Ovis aries: one gene and its partners. The main gene of each other region encodes a partner of the protein of the gene in region 2 in a complex. Links are inferred from orthologs where the notes say so. Each region holds a gene or a part of one and is shown on either strand. Other genes may lie near its edges.

The links.
Region 1: LSM4 (region 2) and SNRPB share a complex: the UniProt entries of both Homo sapiens proteins name them as parts of the U4/U6-U5 tri-snRNP complex. The link is inferred for Ovis aries from reciprocal best matches to the Homo sapiens genes LSM4 and SNRPB.
Region 3: LSM4 (region 2) and LSM7 share a complex: the UniProt entries of both Homo sapiens proteins name them as parts of the precatalytic spliceosome. The link is inferred for Ovis aries from reciprocal best matches to the Homo sapiens genes LSM4 and LSM7.

Annotation. Positions count from the first base shown.
Region 1 is NC_056066.1:52,396,524-52,399,738, reverse strand, and holds part of SNRPB (small nuclear ribonucleoprotein-associated proteins B and B'), read right to left. Parts: coding exon 3,175-3,215; intron 1,474-3,174; coding exon 1,362-1,473; intron 1-1,361. UniProt on the Homo sapiens protein: Plays a role in pre-mRNA splicing as a core component of the spliceosomal U1, U2, U4 and U5 small nuclear ribonucleoproteins (snRNPs), the building blocks of the spliceosome.
Region 2 is NC_056058.1:4,695,173-4,698,566, forward strand, and holds the end of LSM4 (U6 snRNA-associated Sm-like protein LSm4), read left to right. Parts: intron 1-227; coding exon 228-411; intron 412-2,226; coding exon 2,227-2,318; 3' UTR 2,319-2,862; downstream 2,863-3,394. UniProt on the Homo sapiens protein: Plays a role in pre-mRNA splicing as component of the U4/U6-U5 tri-snRNP complex that is involved in spliceosome assembly, and as component of the precatalytic spliceosome (spliceosome B complex).
Region 3 is NC_056058.1:19,036,585-19,038,897, forward strand, and holds the end of LSM7 (U6 snRNA-associated Sm-like protein LSm7), read left to right. Parts: intron 1-26; coding exon 27-98; intron 99-1,448; coding exon 1,449-1,591; 3' UTR 1,592-1,690; downstream 1,691-2,313. UniProt on the Homo sapiens protein: Plays a role in pre-mRNA splicing as component of the U4/U6-U5 tri-snRNP complex that is involved in spliceosome assembly, and as component of the precatalytic spliceosome (spliceosome B complex).

The DNA of each region.
Region 1 (3,215 bases), on a different chromosome or scaffold from region 2:
CCAAGAGAACCCCTCAGATTTACAGGGCATCAAAACACCTTCTTATAAACACTATCCATTCCTGTTAACACCACTCTTCCTCCATCCAAGATTATATGCCCAGCAGGCTAAAAGAACTTAAGGGTTTTAAGTCAAGAGAAACAGGTACAACTCAACCAATATGCATTCCTATGAAAATCAAATAAACAGCCAAGCCTCCACCCCAAAGGGTATCTATGTTAGATTAGTGTTTTGACCCGACAAAGAGATATGAGGTCCAGTCCCAGCTCTGATTCTCACTTGGTGGGTAATAGTGGGGATAGTGGGCAAGTAATCCCACCATTCTAGTACTGCTTCTTCATCTACCAATGAAGAGGTTTTAACAAAACTGGTTGTGGTCCTGAAGGCTTACAATCGGCTACATTAGAGTAGCAAATTCTACTGGAAATAGATACCAAAGCTATGAATAGGTACCTAGGCCTTGAATCAGAAACATGGTAACATCCTTTGCATATAAGAGTCTAAACAAAAGGAAATAACTAGGATAAACTACTCTGCACTCACTTGAAAGTATCTTTAAGTCATTAACATGACTTTTGAATACAGCAACTGGAAAAATGTTTACAATGTTAAGTTAAAAAGCAGAATGATACACACCTATTACAAGTTTAAAAAAACCCAACATATATATATGTGGACAAAAATTAACACAAGGTAACAAGATTATTCCTTTAACAAACATTATCTTAAAACGAAAAAGGGGAAACAAATTTGGTTAGATTCTCTAAAGCCTCTCCTATTTCTAAAGGGAGGCTGATGTTAATGAACCAATACTGCTTGGAATCAAATGACAGTTTCACCACTTTCCAGCTGTGCCACCTTGTGCAGGTTACTAAATTTCAATTGGCATTATCTATAAAGCGGGAATAATCTATCTCAAAAGACTGTTACATGAATTAAATACTGAAGGGCGTGGCAAATAGCAGATGCTTAATTAAATATTAACTATTATTCTATAACTATACAAAAAATATACATGCATTCTATTGTTTGGAGTTACAATTTTTTATGGTCCAACTAGACTGTCATCACATTAAGAACTGATCCAGGAGGCCTTAGGTGCCTCTTCTATTGACTAGGTACATCAACTAAGGAAAAGAGGGCTTTAAAGTTACAAACCCTCAAATCCTAGTTCCTTACTTCTGACTTGCAAAGGAACCTCTTTAAGATTCTGGTTTATTATCTGTATAAGGGAAACAGAAACCAGAAGATACCTATGAGAACTGCAATGAAACAGAGAACCCCACACAGGGCCCAGGTCAGGGTGGCACCTCCCTTGCACAAGGTTCCTGGCCTTGCACTGGCTCTCAGTTCTGACTTACATCTTTTGGAGGTGGTCCCTCTACTGTCATTGAGACCAGGTTCTCCCCTCGAAGTAGTACAAGACCGAGGACTCGCTTCTCTTCTCTCTCTGCTTGCTTTGAGTTCTTTGGTCTAAAGACAGGTTTAGGAGAAGAAACAAAACAAAGCAAAACAGCATTAGAAAAAGGGTAAAGTTCATGTTCACCTACCTAGGGGCCCTCCGAGACTTTTTTTACACTAAATCTACTGACAGGCTAAACTTGTAACCTCCCCCCATTTGATGGTTGTCTCCCATGCCAAGAGAATGCACAGACCAAGAGACAGGACAAGATTCAAGAAAGCCCAGCCCTGGCTCACTCACAAAGCCACTGTGAAAGCCTTCCCTCAGTCAACTCTTTGTTGCCATTACCCTTTTTCTTCCTTCAGTTTAAGGCCTTAACAATGTCAGGAAGGCAGTCGGAACAATTCCTCAAGTCAACTGAATCCCATTCACTCTACTTACATGCAGTATCCTTCTAGTATTAATTCAGCCCCACAGAACTATAACTCTGTCTCTCACCTCATATTAGAAATAGAAGCCATAAAGGAAAAGGTTAAGAGATTAGCTACATAGAAATTACACTTCTATCCTCAAAGAACAAAAACAAATCTCCAAATATCCACAAGTAGAAAAGGATGAGCAAAATATAAACGAGATAGACTGGGAAAAAGTAATTGCAACAAGACAGGGAAAGGAAAGTCAAAGCCAATATCCTAAAGTTAAAGGAAATACAAAATATCTTGATTTTTAAAAATTACTTAAAGTTTTCATTTTAATGATATTTTATATAAATTTTCTATAGGTGGTCATTTTTTCCTCTTTTTTAAAACTTATCTATAGTTCTTATTTTTTTTAAAAAAAGCATGTACTGCCCTTTCACAATTTAAAAAAAAAATCCTTTCTGGGTCTCTTAAGTTTTTTCTCATATACTTCTATGTACTTTTACAAAATATTTTCTAATGGGCACATTTTCATTACCAGAATAAAGTTAGTCTCATTTAAAAATGTTGGCCACTCTCTAATGTACACCGGGCACTCAGCCATCACTACCATTTTCTGTCTTATACTTCTTGACCTCATGCCACAAAGAAAACAAAAGTCCCAAAGAGAATTAAAAGGAACTGACAGCCACTGGTAACACACTATGGACACTCCAGTGGCAAAAGAGAGCTGGATGGTCAAGGAAATTACGTAACTTCTTTGGGCCTCAAGATGCCTTTACTGTATAAAACACTAGACCACATCTTTTACCAGGCTAGAAGCTTAAGATCGGTGAGTCCTAAGACAAGGGAATTATCTAACAAATTATGGGACTGTATTCTCCAATTGTTTCTGTAAATGACAACAAAAATCACTGGCCCCAAACCCACAAGGGGAGTTGAGCACTTACCCTGAAGAGGGTCAGAGGCTTCTTAAAGCAGTTTCAGACCAGGCTGCACTGTGAGAGCCCTTTAGGCTACAGCTTTACAAATAGGCAATGAGGCCAGAAAATCAAGCTCTCCCCCCTTACACACCTGTGGGGAGAACATGAGAGCCCTTTACCCCAGTACCCCCGGGCACACAAAATCAGAGAAATAAAAAGCCTGGCAGCCCTACTTACAACTTGTACTCTGCTAGAAGTAAAGAGCAAGACTAAGGAAAGAGATTTAAGAAACTCTCCATTTTAATCTGCCCTGTAAAACAGGAGAGCAAACTGAGAGGAACCAGCCAGCTAGTCACCACCTAACACTTGGCCCACCCACCCGATCCACTCCCCATCCACTCAACCCCTCCCCCCACAGCCCACTCCTTACTTGATCTTCCTGAACTCATCACAGTCACAGAGGATCAAATT
Region 2 (3,394 bases):
GGGCACAGGCTGCTCACGAGGCCCTGCCCTGCCCGCCCTCGTGTGTGAAGGGCTGCCAAGGGTCTGGAGAGAGCCTGCTGGAGGGCGGCCCTCCCACGTCCTGTGCAGAAGGAGGGGCCTCGTACCCTGCGGGGGCGACGCCAGGCACAGGGAGCCTGAGTGGATGGATGCTGCCCGGCTGCCTACACGTTCCTCCCCACGGCTCTGACACGTACCCCCTGTTGCAGGACGGGGACAAATTCTGGCGGATGCCCGAGTGCTACATCCGCGGCAGCACCATCAAGTACCTGCGCATCCCTGACGAGATCATCGACATGGTCAAGGAGGAGGTGGTGGCCAAGGGCCGTGGCCGCGGTGGCCTGCAGCAGCAGAAGCAGCAGAAGGGCCGCGGGATGGGGGGCGCCGGGCGAGGTAGGCCCTTCTCTCCGCCCTCTCCCCTGGCAGGCAGCCGGGGCCTCCCCGCTGGAGCGTGACTGCCGCGCGCGGCATCTGGCCTGGCCCAGTGCTGGCATTCTCCGCTGGTGGCGTCATGTTGCCGAGGGCCTGGCTCTGCGCCCCTCCTCCATGGCACTGGGGGGCTGTGACTCACGGGGCTCTTCTGTGGAACAGTTGGTGCTGCTGGTTGCCACCTGCATGCCCCGTGTCCCCCACCCCAGGAGCCCAGCTAAGCCCTAGTGGTCAGTGCTGGCCGCGCCCATCCTCACAACATGGGCCCTCCTCCCCGCAGTGGCTCTTGGTGCTCCCTCAGCTCCAGATGCCGCCCAGCAGACTAACCCAGCACCCACACAGACCTGGGACTTGAGCCCCACCTGTGTTTCCTGGCAGGTGCTCTGGGCACCTCGGGGAGGCTCAGATTCCCCCCTGCGGAGAAGATCCCCGTGGTGCCCAGCCTGGGACCCTTCCCTGCTGTGACTCCTTTAGACAAAACCAAGGTCACGCCTTTTGGGTAGATCACCCCGCACCACCCTGAAATCATAAATCTTGCATAAAACTAAACGTGCAGTCAGCTAGAGCCGCAGCCCAGAGGCCAGCTGTGGGCCCCACCCTCCCCCACCCGACTTCTGTCTCACCCACCTGGAGGGGCTTGTATGCCAGGTTCCAGGAACCCACCCTGGAGGCTTATATGCAGAGCCAGGAAAGACATAGGAGCCCCCCTGAGCTGAGGCTTGAGTGACAGAAAGGAGCCAGAGAGAAGAGGGCACCGCAGGTGGAGAAGAACCTAGGATGGGGGTGAGCAGGGCCCCAGAGGTCCCAGGACCTGCCCCCAGGGCTAGGCTGCCCACCCAGGGTGCCATCGCTGTCGAGTAAACTGCCTGAAGGAGCAGGGAGGACAGGGAGAGGCGCTTGCATAGGGGCCCCTGCATGACCAGGCTCCCCTTGCCCAAGCTGGGTCTTGCTCCATTAGAGATGAGGCTGGGCAGACCCTGTCAGCCCTGGCCCTGTCCCCTGTATGCGTGTGGAGGAAGGGGGCCCTGGAAGGCCAGGCTGCTGCTTCTGTGACTTCCTGGGCAGGGGCTGCACCCACCCTTGGGCTATTCACCTTCCCCAGCAGCAGTGCTGTGTGCTCCACGTAAAATGCCTTTCGGAAACAGCCCCACCTCTGGCTGCAGAGGTCAGAGCTCAGGAGGCTCCCCCGCCCCTTCTCTGGGCTGGACACACAGAGACCCCACCCCACCCCATTGTTTCAGCAAGGCAGGGTGGGGTCCCCCGGTGCAGCCCCAGTCACAGAGCTGAGCATCGTTGCTCCACCCCTGGGCTGAGTCCAGGCCTCATCCTAGCTTGTACTCCCAGCTCCTCCTGGAAACCCTTCTGATTTTGTCCTGCTGATGACTACCCACCCCCTCACCTTGGCCCTCAGCCCTCTCTTCCAGGAAGCATATCCCCCCCCCCGCCGCCGCCCCCGCAAGCCCCAGTGTGACTTGATGCCAACCTCTGTCCTTCTTGGCATCCTTCGCACCCCTGGGGCGCCTGGTCTGATATCCCTTGTCACACTGAGAATGTTGTGGAGCAATACCCCTGCCCAGCCCTGGTCAGACACTCCATCTCAGATTTTCAACCTGCTCTTCCCACCGACGGTACAGTCACTGCCCCCACTTTACAGAGGTGAAAGCTGAGGCTCAGAGGGGTTCAACGACTTGGCTATAGTCTAAGGGTTCCAGTTCCTGGTCCTTGCCCACAGTGACCCTCCCAGCCTGGCTCTACTGAACCCCCCCTCCTGTCTCACAGGTGTGTTCGGTGGCCGGGGCCGAGGTGGGATCCCTGGGACTGGCAGAGGTCAACCAGAAAAGAAGCCAGGCAGACAGGCGGGCAAACAGTGAGCCGCCCCTCCATTCCCGAGACTGAGCTGCCGCGCCGAGCACCTGCTCCCACCCTGAGGCTGCATTCCTGGTCTCCAGTTTATGACTGTTCAGAACAAAAAGAAGAGGCAGGGGTCGGGGAGGACCCCCTGCCTGTCCTCTGGTGGTCCTCCTCTTTTTTTGTTAGCCAGCAGTTCTATGGTTGGAAATGTTAATTCTGTGCTTCTGGTTTTGTGAAGCCGCAGCCAACTGGATTCCTGGAAGATTCTGTGTTTAATGCATCGTTAAAGCCCTCACTCTTGTTTTAAGGGCAGGCATTTTCCAAACAGGTTTGTTTTGCATTCTGTGTGGTAAACAGACGGGAGGTTTTTATTTTCAGCTGTTTGCACTGAGATTGATAGCCTGGAGGGTCTCCTGAAACACGGACCCTGAAACTGCCTTTTCGAAATGGATCCAGGCAAACGTATGCCTCAGAAGCTGTTCTGGGGGATGATGCTGGGCCCTATTCCGTCCCTTCTTCTCTCCCTCTTTGTCTTAGAAAAATAAAAACAAATACAACTACAAACTGCGAAATCCATAATTCCTTTGAACCACTGGGTGAATCTAGTTGTAGTGTCCTCAGGAAATCACAGCCCCCACGCAAGAAGTTTCCTTTTGCCCCCTGTGGCCTCTCACCAAGGGGAAGCATTTCAATGGGACACTGGTTCCCATGACCCTCAGCAGCCTCTTACAAAAGGTGGAAGGCAAAATGGGGGTCTGGGCAGTAGGGGAGCCCCTTCCCCTCTGTGGGGCGGTGGGGGAGGGAAGTTGTGGGTGGGAGCCAGTGGGACACCCACACTGCCTGTCCTCAGCCTCCATCTCTGTTGTGCAAGCACTGTTCACAGCAGAGCTCCCTGAGAAGCCGTGACATGGAGCTGCCTCCAGGAACACATGAGGAAGGCTTTTCACGAACTGTTTACCTCCTCTTAGGGTCGGGGCACTTGCCTGTCCGCGACTCAGCGATTTGCCTGAGACGCTGAGCCAGCACTTGTGCGGAACACTTCCGGCGATGTGGTCCTTTGACCGATATTCCTGGACAGCCTGGTGTTAAGAGGCTG
Region 3 (2,313 bases), about 14 Mb from region 2:
CTTCTCTGCTTGGTGATTCCGATAAGCCAGTGGAATCCTGAAAGGGTTCGACCCGCTGCTCAACCTCGTGCTGGACGGCACCATCGAGTACATGCGAGGTGAGTGCAGCTGCAGGGCTCGGAAGCATCCTTCCGAGCAGTAAGGCCTTCTTTACTGTTCCTAGGCCGCCGCCCATATGCTGAGCCACCGTGAATGTGGCGCCTAGTGGGTCAGACTGCTGACAAGTGTGTTTGCTTTGCCACTGTCCTGGTGGGGCTCAGTACACTGTCACCTCAGGACTTCAAGGGTAGAGTGTTCTCCGGATTCACTCGTCACCGACCCTCAGCACTTGCTGGAGTTGAAGTCTGCCTGGTGGGGCTAGAAAGGTGCTGCACCTGCCACAATAAAGCTGGCTTCCAGGGGCCTCATCCTGCCCCCTCTCTCCTGCTGTCTCTATCTGTCTACTCCCTGCTGCTGACAAAGGGTCCCCTCCCCTTCCTTTCCTGTCCCCGTCTCCACAAGTCCCCAGACCCACCAGCTCAGCCTGAGTGCTGCACGACGGAGCCCCCAGGTTCAGGAGAGAAGGGGGTCTCACTCCTCCAGGGACTGTCGATGTTGAAGTACACATTACTCTGGTGCAGAGTAAATGCGGCCACACACAAGTGTCAGAAGCCACCAGGCAGAGGCCCTCTTTGTGGGAGGAGCAACCCTGTAGGGCCTTTTGCCTGCCCTTGTTTTCTCTCTTCCCTCGGGGTTTACCCAGAGTCCTGCTGCTGGGGTCCTGGCCCAGCCTCCTCAGGCAGATGACATTCTGAAAAAGGACAGCCTCACCCCCGTGGGGCTGCTGGGAGAACCACATGAGCTGGTGTGTGCCATGCACTTACATGGGGTCCTGGCTTGCTGGTCCAGCGACTTTTTGCCCTCTCCTCACCCAAGAACAGCCCCAGGCCCAGAGCCAGCCAGACCCATCCCGGCAGCTCCAGGAGGGAATGGGCAGGCTCGGACAACTGTCGTCCTGCAGGGCCTGGGAGTGGGGAGTGGCACCCCAACTCAGCCTCTCCCGTCACGCAGTAATCTCTGAGAGTAAGCTCGCCTCCGTGCGCTGTCACTTCCCTCCACTGGGAACAGCCCGCTGGTGTGAGGGTGAATGGTGACCCTCTAGGAACTCCCAGATCCTGCAGATGGGTTTTTCTTCTCCCACCACCCCTCTGAGCACTCGGTCCATCTCCCCAGGGCTGTGTTCTCATTGTGGAAGGAGGGCAGGCTGCACAGGGCTGTTTCAGAGCTTTTCCTGAGCCTCTCCATCCATCTCCAGAGAAGCTGCCAATGGGCTGGGGGAAGCGGAGGTGGGGGGTGGGAGCTTGGCCTGCCTTCCCTCCCCCCAGCCCCCACACCCCACTTCTTCCCACCCAGGCACATCTCTGGGCACCTTCCCACACTGCCTCATTGCCGCCCCTCTTCTCCCACAGACCCCGACGATCAGTACAAGCTCACAGAGGACACGCGGCAGCTGGGCCTGGTGGTGTGCAGGGGCACTTCGGTGGTGCTCATCTGCCCGCAGGATGGCATGGAGGCCATCCCCAACCCCTTCATCCAGCAGCAGGATGCCTAGCAGCCAGGCCACTGCTCCCCTGACTTGGCCACCCGTCCGAATGGAACTCTTTTTTGTATAACTTACATTTTGTTTTCTTAATAAAATTGCAAACCTCAAGTGTCCAGGAGCCCTGGAATCTTCCTTTCAGCTTTGGTGTTCTGGCAAAACCCAGACCTGGGGATTTGGTTCATCTGGCAGAGCTTGAGCGCTGGCCGGGGACTTGGTGGTGACTAAGCATGCATAGTGCAGGCGGGGGAATGGGTTTTGCCTCTGCAGAGACCCCCCCAGGGATCACCGCCTCTGTGCACACCCCAGCCAGCCTTCTCAGCGGCAGGTCCTATCCTTTCAGTGCCTTTATGCTCTGGCCCGAGGGGTCCTGCAGAGCCGGGTCCACTCTGTCATGTCCCCACAAAGCACAGCCATGACCCCACAAAGAACAGACTAGATGGAGCCTTGCTGTCCACCTGGCCCACGACCCCAGAGGTGATCTAAACCTCTTCCCCGCTCATCTCAGAGGACAAGCCCACCCCTGCCCCTCAGCCGGCGACCCCAGGCCATCATCATGAACGTCCCCAGTCCCTGTCCTCAGGAGCAGGGCTTTCTCCTGGCCTTGTTCCATAAACCCAGTGTCCTTGTTAGGACCCTGCCCCCATGGGGCCATCCCTGCTGACAGCAGGCTCGTCTCTCATTTGTCAGTCTGGAGCACTGATGAGGGTGGACGGGGAGGCCGAGAGTAAGCA